Linked DNA regions of Arabidopsis thaliana. The protein of the gene in region 2 interacts with the protein of the main gene of each other region in a pairwise test. Each region holds a gene or a part of one and is shown on either strand. Other genes may lie near its edges.

The links.
Region 1: the proteins of FBH2 (region 2) and MYB37 interact in a two-hybrid assay, tested with the Arabidopsis thaliana proteins (one large-scale study listed by BioGRID).
Region 3: the proteins of FBH2 (region 2) and AT1G50680 interact in a two-hybrid assay, tested with the Arabidopsis thaliana proteins (one large-scale study listed by BioGRID).

Annotation. Positions count from the first base shown.
Region 1 is NC_003076.8:7,694,021-7,698,550, reverse strand, and holds MYB37 (myb domain protein 37), read right to left. Parts: upstream 2,417-4,530; 5' UTR 2,318-2,416; coding exon 2,182-2,317; intron 2,090-2,181; coding exon 1,960-2,089; intron 1,563-1,959; coding exon 839-1,562; 3' UTR 529-838; downstream 1-528. UniProt on the Arabidopsis thaliana protein: Transcription activator of genes involved in the regulation of meristematic competence, such as CUC2.
Region 2 is NC_003075.7:5,845,720-5,850,340, forward strand, and holds FBH2 (basic helix-loop-helix (bHLH) DNA-binding superfamily protein), read left to right. Parts: upstream 1-1,592; 5' UTR 1,593-1,793; coding exon 1,794-2,246; intron 2,247-2,738; coding exon 2,739-2,885; intron 2,886-3,089; coding exon 3,090-3,155; intron 3,156-3,525; coding exon 3,526-3,594; intron 3,595-3,727; coding exon 3,728-3,781; 3' UTR 3,782-4,044; downstream 4,045-4,621.
Region 3 is NC_003070.9:18,777,024-18,780,583, forward strand, and holds AT1G50680 (AP2/B3 transcription factor family protein), read right to left. Parts: upstream 1,592-3,560; coding exon 578-1,591; downstream 1-577. Other genes in the region: AT1G50690 (Cystatin/monellin superfamily protein), read left to right, coding at 2,745-2,918, 3,041-3,384, 3,480-3,489.

The DNA.
Region 1 (4,530 bases), on a different chromosome or scaffold from region 2:
GTTTGGGTAATGGATAATTTACGGACTGGCCCGATACCCACATGTTTACTAAAACTCTATTCAGTAAAATAATTTTCAACTCTAGATCTTCTCAACCCGGTTTTTTTGTTCGAGTATCAGTTTGGATATTGGGTTCGGTTTTTTTGCCCAGGTTTACTTTCAACAATTTAACTATATTGACTCTAAATATACAATTAGGATTAAATAAAATATATCTTTCATAGGTTTTATGTTAAAACATTATATATAAAATAGTAAGATCATTCGCTACAAATTATTTATCTATCGGACATTTCAGTTTGGAAGTTTAGTTCTTTAGCATATGTGTTGTTAACAATAAAACATATATATGTCTTGCAAGTGCGTATATATCTTTAACTAAAAAAGTGCGTGTATATACGATTTTGTTTGCTATATATAGCATACACATATAATGGTAATAGTCTCATCTAATTATAGAAACAATAAAATGCTATATATGTGTGTGGGCGTGTGTGTGTGTATAGTCGTTCGTATGTATAGATCACATACTTTGTTCTTAGTTTTATCTGAAAGCTGAAATGATCTACTCTTCTCGACCAAAACGAAGATCTACTCTTACATCCTTTTGGGTTTCATCAAATCAAATCTCCCATAGTCCCATTAACATTGTCTCTTCTTAACTAGAAATCCAATAAAGAGAGATAAATAAACAAAAAAAAAATACAAAATCCCATAAAACTGATCATAGTCGCTCTCTATCTCATTCTCTCTCCTCCCATACCCCATCAAATCTTTGATATTACTAACAGTCAGTCCAAGATATATTTATATAAGAAGACAAGAGAGTCTAGAAGAACTAGGAGTAGAAATAGGGCAAGCATTTGTATTCTAGTAGGAGGCTACCACTGCTTTTGTTCTCAGCTAGGTTGCTTATCGAACTAGAAGATGAACCTGAACCACCCATGTTTATGTTAGAATTAGTGCCTGTTCCACTAATCATTTGCTTCAAATCCCCATGCCCATTGTAGTAATTATAATACCCTTGTGTGAATTCCCCATTGTACCCTTTTGTCCTCTGGTCAATGTGGTGGTCTATCATCATCATCATCATTATCTCTTCTTGCTTCATCATAATCTCTGATCTTATCCCATTGACGTCTGAAGAAAAACTGGTGTGGTTCTTGTACTGATCACACATATTGTGGTTGAGCAAGAAACCATTTGCGTTCGAGGTGTTGTTGTTGCTGTCCGAGAGATAGAGATCTTGAGGATAATTAGGGTTAATATAGGAAATTATCTGTTTGTCACCAGCTTCGAAGCCATTGATGCTGGAGATGAGGGATTTTGTTGGGTATTGATTAGGGTTTTCAGCATACGGATTGTAAGAAGAAGATGGGATTGTTGTTGGTGAGGTTGGTCTTTTCACATCCTGAGAAATAGGGTTTAGATAAGGAGAAGCCATGGCTGATGATGATGAATCAGAGGAAGAAGACAAGAGTTTCTTCCTTAGCTTTGTGTTCCAATAGTTTTTTATGTCGTTGTCTGTTCGTCCCGGTAGATGAGCTGCTATTATTGACCACCTACAAGTTTCAATTGATGTATATTAATAGCTAATATTGGAGAAAAGTATAGCACTCTTGATGAATTAAAGTTGCTCGTAGTTTTGACTAAATCATGGAATCAATGTAGCTCGTGATTTTGACTAGATTTATGAAGAAATTAAGCACGTTTGGAAATATTTTGATCATTACTTCAAAATAACACATAAATTCAAAATTAGATTTAGGAGAAATTTTGTTACTATTATAAGATTAATTGAAGGAGAGTGTGAATTAATATTTTCTTTAAACCTATCTAAGCAGATAACTATGAAAGGGCCTTCACAGGCAAGTGGGCGAAAAAATGATTTCATTTCTACATTTTTTGTAAGGATCTTATATGATTAAAGATGATTTCAAAAGGAATTAATTAGAGAACCTGCTTCCTATGGCAGCGAAGAGACTAAAAATGATCCTGTCTTCTTCCTCAGAGAAGTCACCATGCTTTATGTTTGGTCTCAAATAGTTTAGCCACCTCAGTCTACAACTCTTCCCACATCTCCTCAAACCTTAAACCACAACAAAGAATGGCATAAGCTCTTATTTGGGCTTAGAAGCTCGAAAAGGTTATCTAGGATTAAGAACATGTGTATGAACTTACCGGCTTTGAGGGGGAAAGAGATCCAATTTCCACCATTACCATACTTTTCAATGTAATCTCTAAGTTTAGAGTCTTCTTCAGGCGACCAAGGCCCTCGCTTCACTTTTGTCTTGTCGCAACACGGAGCTCTTCCCATTTCTCTCGTTAGTGAATTGAAGTTTGAAGAAGAGAAAAGAAAAAGAGAGAAATTGTTATCTCTTACTTGCTTTTTTTAGGATGGACTTTTTGTGTTTATGGAGGAGTAGTTGAATATGTGCCCTTTTAATAAGAGACTTGGATTTGGACACACCCTATCAATTATTATTATATATTATTATCTGGAGAACCAATTATTTATTTCATTTTGTCTCTAAAGCTATGGGTATGGAGAAGTCAACATGATTGACATGCATGCATATTTATTGTTCGTGTTTGAAAAAATTAGATTTCCAATTATTCATTTTATTTTAGCTCGCGCTTCGTTTGATAAAATTACGTTAAAACAAATTAACTGTTCAAAAGATAAACTTTATTTATCCCTTCTTTATGAGGATTTCAATGTCTTTTATTTCATAACTTGGGGTTAGTCTGGAATATCCCTACCAAAATCCAGAGTAATTCCAGAGTAACTTGGTTGTCAGCATACGCATGGTCCAAACTCCAAACAATCAAAATTGAATCATTAATATCAAGAGAAATGCAAATATTTAAAATCCAGAACTTTGTAATGAGTTGACAAAAAAAAAAGTCATTAACTAAAATTATCAGCAGGTTTCTTGATTTGATCATTCGTCCAAATGTATTTTCATACATATGCACATCAACTTGCTAGTTAGTTTTCATCATGAATTTCAAAAGTAAAAAGGAAAAAGAAAAAAAAAACAGTCCCAAGTGGTGTTGATATTACACGGATAAAAGGAAGAAAACATGTTGGAAGAGAAGATTGCATTGGACGGACCAGTGAACTATATGGAACTGTCTGATTATAAAGTGACAAAAAAACAAAACTCAATTTTTGTGAAATTCTATTAACCAAAAATGTATCATCACGAGTTGACTTACCAATGTTGTTTTTCATTATTACATTTAGTAAAGTGCCAAAAGAACCCTTCATAATTATTCATTCGTACTACTTTGATGGACACTTGCATGCATGAATAAATCTTTTGAATTATTTTTTCACACAAACATATAAATATATGTACATAGATGAGTTTCGTGATATGTGCTCTATATATCTATACATATATGAATATCATGATGATCAGGTGTATTTTTGGCCCGACTAATCAACTTCAGAGCTATAATGACCCATCGATGTATCCATATATATGTGTACAATTGATAGATCTACTGTTTTACATCATTTAAGGTACATGTGTTTGATTTACGCATGCAGATATAGTCACACACTCATTTCCACAAATGTGCAAGTAATATGGTACAAATGGCCAAACAAAAGTTTCCTGATTCGTGGTGTACTCCTTACATTTGCTATATTACATTTACATGTGTTACAAAAGGAACTTATACGTGTAGTTACATTCTTTTAGTCATAATTATAGGGAAATAACCTCTCTCTTTTTCTTGTAAAACTGGTAACTTAGTTGTTATTGTTGAAATGTTGTCTAGTCTTGTAAGATAAATTAAGGGTTTAAAATCTCCAAATTGGGCTGCAAATTCACTACAGCCCAAACATATAGGATATTAGGTTGATAAGTAATTATTAAAAAAAAATTAATTTTTAAATACAAATCTGAAATTAAACATGGTAAATAATAATACACATTGTAATTAAGCTATGTATGTATGTGCCTTACAACTTCTAGATGTTATATGCCGTGAAGAATGTCAAATTAGTATCCTCAATATTCTACTCTTTTAATGTAAAATATAATCAAAAACAATATTCTAAATATATATGTGATGTTGTAGTTAAAAATATGCATATTAATATCTTTATTTTAATTTTATATTTTCTATATAAGAAAAGGTGTCTTTAGTCAAATGGTTGATGGTCTATATTTGTAGTCTTATACGTCGGATTTTGACTCGAGTAAATCGTGTTATCATGTGAAGTACTAGGGACTGGATTTTGGGTGAAGCTTTGTCGAGGCAAATAATGTCAACAATATTTTTTTCTAGGTAAAATTAATTAAAAACACGTAATTTATTGAGTGGTTAATGAAAATAATAAAGAATTTGAACTGCAGGTGATCTTTGGCTTTTTAATTCTTTTGTCAATTTACGATTGCATCAATCCCTTTCTCCTACGTCTGCCCTTGAGTTGTAATGTTCAATGCATATGTAGAAAATAGTATGGAATAATTAGCATAAGAGGGAAAACAGTATTGACTCATTGGTGTTCCA
Region 2 (4,621 bases):
TTTAAAAGATATTTAAAGAATTTACAAGAAGACCCTTTAAAAACTCTTGTAAATATTTTAAAATCTTTTAAAATCTCTTATAAATCTCTTAAAATACTTTTAAAATCTCTTGTAAATTTTTTAAAACCCTTTTAAAATCCCTTGTAAATATTTTAAAACCCTTTTAAAATCTCTTGAAAATATATTTTTTCCCAAAACAATTTTACAAGGATTTGCATAATCATTTTTTTGGCGGGATTTTTCTTTTTGGTGGGAAAAAAGTTTGCCAGAAAATTTTTTTGGCGAGAAAAATAAATTTTTGGTGCAAAAATTTGGTGGGAAAATTTCAGTTTCTAATTACATGTTCCTATTAGATGAGGATAATTTGGTCATTCTGTTCAAGGGAAATGGTATTTTTAAAAAAGGACAACATAAAAAGATATTGTTGCAAAAGGGTAGTAAAAAAAGAGTAGTTTTGCAAATCTCCCAAAATTCTGTAAGGGTTTAGGTTTAATATTATTTAATTATAATTATATTGCTTCCTTTTTTATAAGTTTAAATTTAATATTTGTTATTTTCGTTTTTTATTTTAAATTTTAAAATGGAAAGTAATTATTATTTTTAAAAATGTTAATTAATTAGATGTTAAATATGTTAATTATTGATGTGACAGCTTCCGATTAGTTGTTTTAAAAAATGTTAAATAATTAAATGCTAAATATGTTAATTATTGATGTGGCAGCTTTCGATTGGTCGTTCTAAATCCTATGTGGACGGCTTTAGAAGCAAATAGCCTCAACTTTTATATAGTATAGATTTTCAGTTTTTGGTGTTCAATTTTTCGATCACCGGTTTTGATGAGATTGAAAAACTCTGTGGGAATTTTTTATGGCCGGGCAACCCGAACACCACACGAGTTGTAAAAGTGCTTTCAAATTATTTTATTTATTTTATAAACATTTAAATCTTAAAAATAATATATGAGAATTAAAATTAATAAATAAAATTTTAACCATAAATTAAAAACGAAAGTAACAAAAAAAATTTAAAAAATGAAGTAATTTTTTTTTAAGATTGTAATATTTTTTTTAATAGGATGGTTTTTTATTCTTTACTTTTTTTCACCAGCGACCATTTTATTAAGTTAGGAGAACTAATCCGGAGTCGATGTACTTACATGAAAAAGAAAAAAAACTTCGTGTTCTTATATTTTTTGTTAGGCAATCAACACAGACATTGTTACAACAGAGAATAACTCTAATATAAAATAAAGACAAAAAATTTCAAAAGCTTTTTTAAAATATTGTAATTCTTCAAAAGCTTTTAAAATGTTGTAATTCTACAAAGCAGCTCAACTAAATAAAAGTTGCATTTTGCAGACATACGAAGTCGCTAATTTTTCACATATCGGAATTGGACCGAGAAGGTGGAAACTACGCGCCTCCATCGAGAGTGGTGTAAACCATAATCTATTACATAAAAAAAAAGATAACAAAAGAGACGTTAAAGCAATGTTTCTCTGTTACGCGCTGACGCATCTCTAACCTTTTTAGGTTCTGTACTATCTTTATCTTTTAGTCAAGTGTTAGAAAAGTATCTTAATCAGACGGTTAGGGTTCTTTATTATTACTAGCCGCAATTTTTTTATTGAAACAAATAAATAAAAAAATAACCCAAGAACAACAACAATCTGGTCTGCTGATGTATTAATTAAAGAAAAAAATAAAACAGAGCAAGAAACAAAAAAAAAAATGTAAAGAAAGAGAAAAAAAGCTTTCGTAGTGTCTATTGAAACCAGAGAAAAGCCAAAGGGGATGCAACCAACATCCGTCGGTAGTAGCGGCGGTGGTGACGACGGAGGAGGCAGAGGAGGAGGAGGAGGGCTAAGTAGAAGTGGACTATCTCGGATCCGTTCAGCTCCAGCGACTTGGCTTGAAGCTTTACTTGAGGAAGATGAAGAAGAGTCTTTGAAACCTAATCTTGGTCTCACCGATTTGCTTACCGGGAACTCGAACGATTTACCGACAAGTCGCGGCTCGTTCGAGTTCCCGATTCCTGTTGAGCAAGGGTTGTATCAACAAGGTGGGTTTCACCGACAGAATAGTACTCCGGCGGATTTTCTTAGTGGTTCTGATGGATTTATCCAAAGCTTTGGGATTCAGGCGAATTACGATTACTTATCGGGGAATATCGATGTTTCTCCGGGAAGTAAGCGGTCTAGAGAAATGGAAGCACTCTTCTCTTCTCCTGAGTTTACTTCTCAAATGGTAAACCAAAATTAGTTCTTAAATTAGGGTTTTCTTATACTTGCCAAAAATAGGATGAACTTAACTGACTTATTACTTGTTTTAGTTAATTTGCTGACCAAGTTCTCGAGATTGAAAAGACCAGTCTTGTCTTAAAATTGACAACTTGTGTTTTTCTGAACCAAACTAAGCAAGTTGCAGTTTCTATTTTAACTCAAAAAAAAAAAAATGGCAGTTTTTGTTGTTGGCTCTGTGGCTTTAATGTGTCAATGTGAACATTAAAGAATGCTCCTATGGGTAAAGTGTTTAGAAGACCATAAGTCCACATGATGATACATACTTCGGTGGTTAATGTGTACAAATGTATTGATTCTCCACACCTTTTGGTACATTGGTCTACTTAGTATTAAGTAACTACACTTGATCAAAATTTTGGGAACATATGTGTTACCTATGTGTTGATTAAGGTATTAGTGCTGATTTGCGCTTTTTGGAATTTTTTTCTGTAAGTAGAAAGGAGAGCAAAGCAGCGGTCAAGTTCCTACCGGAGTATCAAGCATGTCGGATATGAACATGGAGAACCTTATGGAGGACTCTGTTGCTTTTAGGGTTCGGGCTAAACGTGGTTGCGCAACTCATCCCCGCAGCATTGCCGAGAGGGTAAACAACATTCAATCTTTATTTTCAATGTTTTGGAAGTGTAGTGATCAAGGTTCTCTTAACTTTATACATTGAAGTTTAGTGATACAACTTATATCTTTACTTTCAATTTACGGATGTTTAATGATGCACTGTATGCTTCATTGAACAGAGGATTGTTCTGTTCTGGTCAGTGTATATTTATCTTTACCTTTCATTGTGTAGGTACGAAGGACGCGGATTAGTGATCGGATAAGGAAGCTACAAGAGCTTGTACCTAACATGGACAAGGTAATATAATTTTCAGCTTAGGTATAATCTGATGACCTCGGTTACACAATTATATTGACTAGAAATAGGTCAAAGATTATCTATGCTTAAATCAAGTGTAGAAGTTAGAGGTCAAATTAAATATGACTGTTAATGGTTGTGATGCAACTTCAGAGACACGGTTCTCAGCTCTGTAACTAAGTAATTCACAAACTGTGGAATGGATCTTGATATGGACTTGAATTGTTGTCACCTCGATCAAATAAGTATGAACTTGGTTTCCTCTCTATAGATTATGAACAAACTGAGGAAAACTTTTGGTTTTGGTATATATGGAGATTTGGAATCTAGGCTTTGAGTATATCGGTTAACTTTTTTGTCTTTGTTGCAGCAAACCAACACTGCAGACATGTTAGAAGAAGCAGTAGAATACGTGAAAGTTCTTCAAAGGCAGATCCAGGTAAATTATCTAAGTTAATATATATACACACAAAACCTTTTAGAGGAACCCAATAGATGAATTAAAAATGATTAGTCAACAGTATATAGTAAAAAGAGTTATGAGTTGGTTTATTTTGGTGTGGATAATATAGGAGTTAACAGAAGAACAGAAGAGGTGCACATGCATACCTAAGGAAGAACAATAAGGTTTGCTCCTGATTTGTTTTATATTTGCTTAACGGCAATGATCTGATCGAAAAATTCGAAAGATGATCTTAGCTTGAATTTAGATGGATGTCATGTTGAAAAGTATATTATTTGATAAATGGATGTAGGTGTAATATAAAATTTTTGTACAATAATGAAGAAAGTTAAAAAGAATTAATGAAAACATATATTCTTTATGATATTAGTGAAATGACTTTGATTTCATGTTGTTTGATTATAGTAAAGTATTTTCAAGATGTGTATTACAGTGTTTTTAAAACTCATTCATACAGTTACAGCTAACATACTAGATTACTAACCATCATGGAATAAGATTGCTTAGTGGTGCAACCAATCCGCAACGAGTTTGCAAACGAGGACAGAATTGCTCGATGTTTTGTCGAACCGGCAAGATAATCGGGTCTTTGTTTATTGCAGTGTAGATTAAATCTTATAGCGAAAAAGGGTTAATCATCTTACTAAATCCGCTGCAATCAGTTTCGAAATAAATCATTCCGCATACCGCGCTACCAAAAGTAGTGTAGTGTCAGGAGTTCTTAGTGTAAAGACATGAAATATATTTGAAATCCTTTCAAACCAATTAGATGAATCTGGTTGAAGCCATCAAATTAAAACCAAACTGGCTGCACATTTTTGTTTTGGTTTTCCATGAACCATCAACTTGAAAACAAAGAACAAGGGAGTTCAAAACATAGAAGGGATGATAAGCTCTGGAACGACTCCCATGCCTTCACCAATGTACTCTGCTACACCTAATCTTGGACTCGCATCCACGCTTTGAGTTCATCTCGCAATCACAAAATATTTTGTCAAGGATC
Region 3 (3,560 bases), on a different chromosome or scaffold from region 2:
GGAATTCAAAAAAAAAGAACTAAATAAAAATCGTAATTATGTTCAAAAACAAAAAAATGTAATTTTGCGTTGGAACAAAGAAAAATATTATAATCTTTTTTACTTTTTGTTGGATGTTGTTAAATAGAATTTCTCTAAAATAAATTTTCAGTTGATTTTACATTTATTTTTATAAAATTATTCAAATTTATTAAGTTCATAAATAATCTTTAGTAAGTTTTATTTGTGACATTTTTTTTTTCTTTTCATTTTTTACTCTTTTATTCTTGAGAAATTGATAAAAACTAATTGACCAGTTAACAAATACTATTGATAAGATTTTTTGGTTAAGTCTTTCTTCTTATAAGGCCAAAAGCTTCTGAGCTTGTCATGAGTAAACTAGCAATCTTGGTGGTTATGCATTGCGAGTAGCTCACTTTGATAATGGTTATCGAAATCTAAACCAGTAACGAAGCATTGAGAAAATCATTTAGTAAACCAATCTCTAGTTAAGTAAAACAATTTTGTTAATAAAAATTCATGAGGTACAAGTAAAACAAGTTCTAGTTGAAGTAAGAAACTTTTAAAGAAAAATTCCCTAAGGACATTCGATCCTTACACCAAACAGCATAAACCCTCCTTTGTTCTCCTCTGATTTGGTTTCTTTATCTTCTAACATGGAGCTAACCAAGTTTTCTGTTTTCTTTACTTGCACTGAACTGTCATGAACCGTCATACTTACTTCCTCAGCTACCACGGAACCGTTGTCTGAAAAGCAATGAACATCGATCATCAAGAAGTTCTTTCTTTGACCTTCTAATGTCTTCACATTGTTCGGGACATCGCAAGTGTAGAAGGCAATAACATCCTTCTCCTTGAGATTCTTCTCCTTCACGAAACTATTCCATCCTCTGGTGAAGACAAAGCTCTGGCTACTTTTCCAGTAACAATACCTAAACTTCCATTGTCTCATTGCTCTGTCGTAAAACACAACCTCCACATCTTCCACAGATCCTACTATTTCACCCTCTTCTTTCTCGCTTTGATCAGCGCTTATGAAAGGCATATACTTCACTGCATACTTTTTAGGTATCACAAGCCTATTTAGTTTCCCTACATCGCTCGGTGTCAATTCCTTCTGAAAAAGCTGTGTGCAAGAAAAACACTTGTCTGATTCTTGATTCACTTCTCCTCGGGCTTGTTTTGGTCCCCCGATGTTGATACTCGCAACAATCTGAGATCTGATTCTGAGAAAATCTCTGAATTTGTGTTGGTACGAACCGTCTCTGATCATGTTCAACACAGTCTCTGTTGTGTAGCAATTTTGAAAGTCTGGTTCGTTGAGAGTGATTGTAGACCAAGGGAAGTTCCGGTGCGAGTTAGCGTCAAAGCTTCGGAGTTTGATAGATGCACTATCGTAAGCCGTGGCGGCTTCATCAGCGGATTTGAAAGTTCCAAGCCAAATCCTTTTGTGGTCTGCGTAAATCTGGGCACCCCAATGACCGTTCTGTTGCTGAACGACTCCTTTGTACTTGACATTGCCAGAAGCCACAACCGTCTTTGGTGAAGACGAAACCACTAGGGCGTTTTCTGGTTCGTCATCAAGTCTCATGCGTTTCTTGAGAGGCAAGAAAGAGTCGCTTGAACCTGAAGACACTGAAGTCTCCGTCTTTGCGTCGTCGATGTTGTTCATTAGAATTCAAGAAACAGAGTAGTAGAAAGATACGAGAGACAGAGAAAGAGAAGCGAAACAAAACGATGAAGAAATATGAGGAACAGAGAGAGAACTATATAAAGAGAGCAAATCGTGGGAGCAAATTGTGTTTCTTAATCTTGTTGTTTCTTGCGGTGCTTGAGTATTTATCAAGTTATCATTTTCCATTTTCTATTTGTTGTAGTTTCTATAATTTAGCTATGAGAGAAAATTATGGAAAGTATTGAAATTAAAGAATTTCCATGTTTCGTCGGTTCATTAATTACTTGATATATCTGATTGGATAAAAAATGGAAATACGTGAGAGAGCCGCTGGAAAATATCATCAAGTAACTTATTAGGGTTTTATGTTTACCCTAATTTTATCATTCATTAACAAAACGTTTCTCATCTCATGTGGTTGAGTATTTTTTTTATTTCTTCATTATTATTTGTTTTCCAATAAGTCAACTAAAAACAAAAGAAAAATTAACAAAAATATTTCTCTATGTAAAAATTTAGCAAGTTTTGAGAAGCAGAAAAAGGTACACAGTAAATGGAAAGAATACAAAACGTACGTTTAATGATGTACAACAATTAGGCTTTTGCAATCACCACGATCACGACCAATTAGGGTTACACATCTGCTTCCGTGATGGGCAAATAAGACATCTGAGATTCCTAATTTAAAACTTCAGAAATTTAATTTTGATGAGATTTCGTCTACTTGATTATACGAAAGGAAGGAATAGTTATGATTTGATTTGACTTTTAATTTTCCGGATTTGGATTTTTAACTTTGAAAACTAGTGAGTATTTTTTAACCAAATTTAACCGATCTAGATTAATTTTAACAACCACAATGATGATAAGGTTTTACAATAATCATCTACTAGCTAGTTTAGTGTCTCTACACGAATTTTCTCTCTTGGAGGCTTGATATTTTCTTAGTCACTTTTTTTCTTTTTGTTTTTTGTTTGTTGTGCACACTATAAATAGAAGAGGGACCTTTTTTTTATCTTGAATGATAGAAGAAACAGAGAATTAGGGTTTCATCTAATCTGCCATAGTTATGGATCCGCAGGTGGTGGTCGATAAGAAATCTGAGGAGCCTGATCTGAAGCGTCAGAAGCTGGAGGAGGAGGAGGAGGAGGATTGCGAAGAGATGTCTTCGTACAGCGAGTCGACGTGTAGTTTCGATTCGGAAGATGAACGATTGGTCGAAGAAGAATACCAAAGAAGCGGGGTATGTAGTTGTAATGATCCACCAATCTCTCCTTCGCTTCTTACTTTTTCGAATTGAGATTTTGTCTGTGATTTCAAAAGCATTATGTCGGCTTCTCTCATGAATGTGATTGTTGTCTGTAGTATTACGACTTTGACACCACGAAACAAAGACGCCTTGTGTTTTGCTATCCTGTTATCTTCGAGGATAGTGACGTTGCTCATAAACCCGAAACCGACGGAGATTTGGTTCATAGATTATCCAAGATTGCTCTTCAGAAATACAATGATGATAAGCTGGAAAATCTTGAACTTGTGAGAGCTGTCAAGGCTAATCGGAAATATGGAGCCGGATTCATTTTCTACATCACCTTCGAGGCCAAGGATGCTAATTCTCACACTGACCCCATTACTTTTCAAGCTGCCGTTCGCTACCTTCGAGGGATTGAAACGGTCTACCGTGTCCACCCTAAACCATTATTAGATTCGTAAGCTCTAAAATTTTCCCATCCTACTAAGTTTAAGTTGTTATTGATATGTGTTTTGGTAAAATCTTGTTTTTTTTTGTGTGTTTACTGTTTAGGACCAAGTAGTGGCAGATGTAACGGGATGTTCCTTTGTATAATGACATTCTACTCAACTTTCTATTTATCTGCAAACTTCT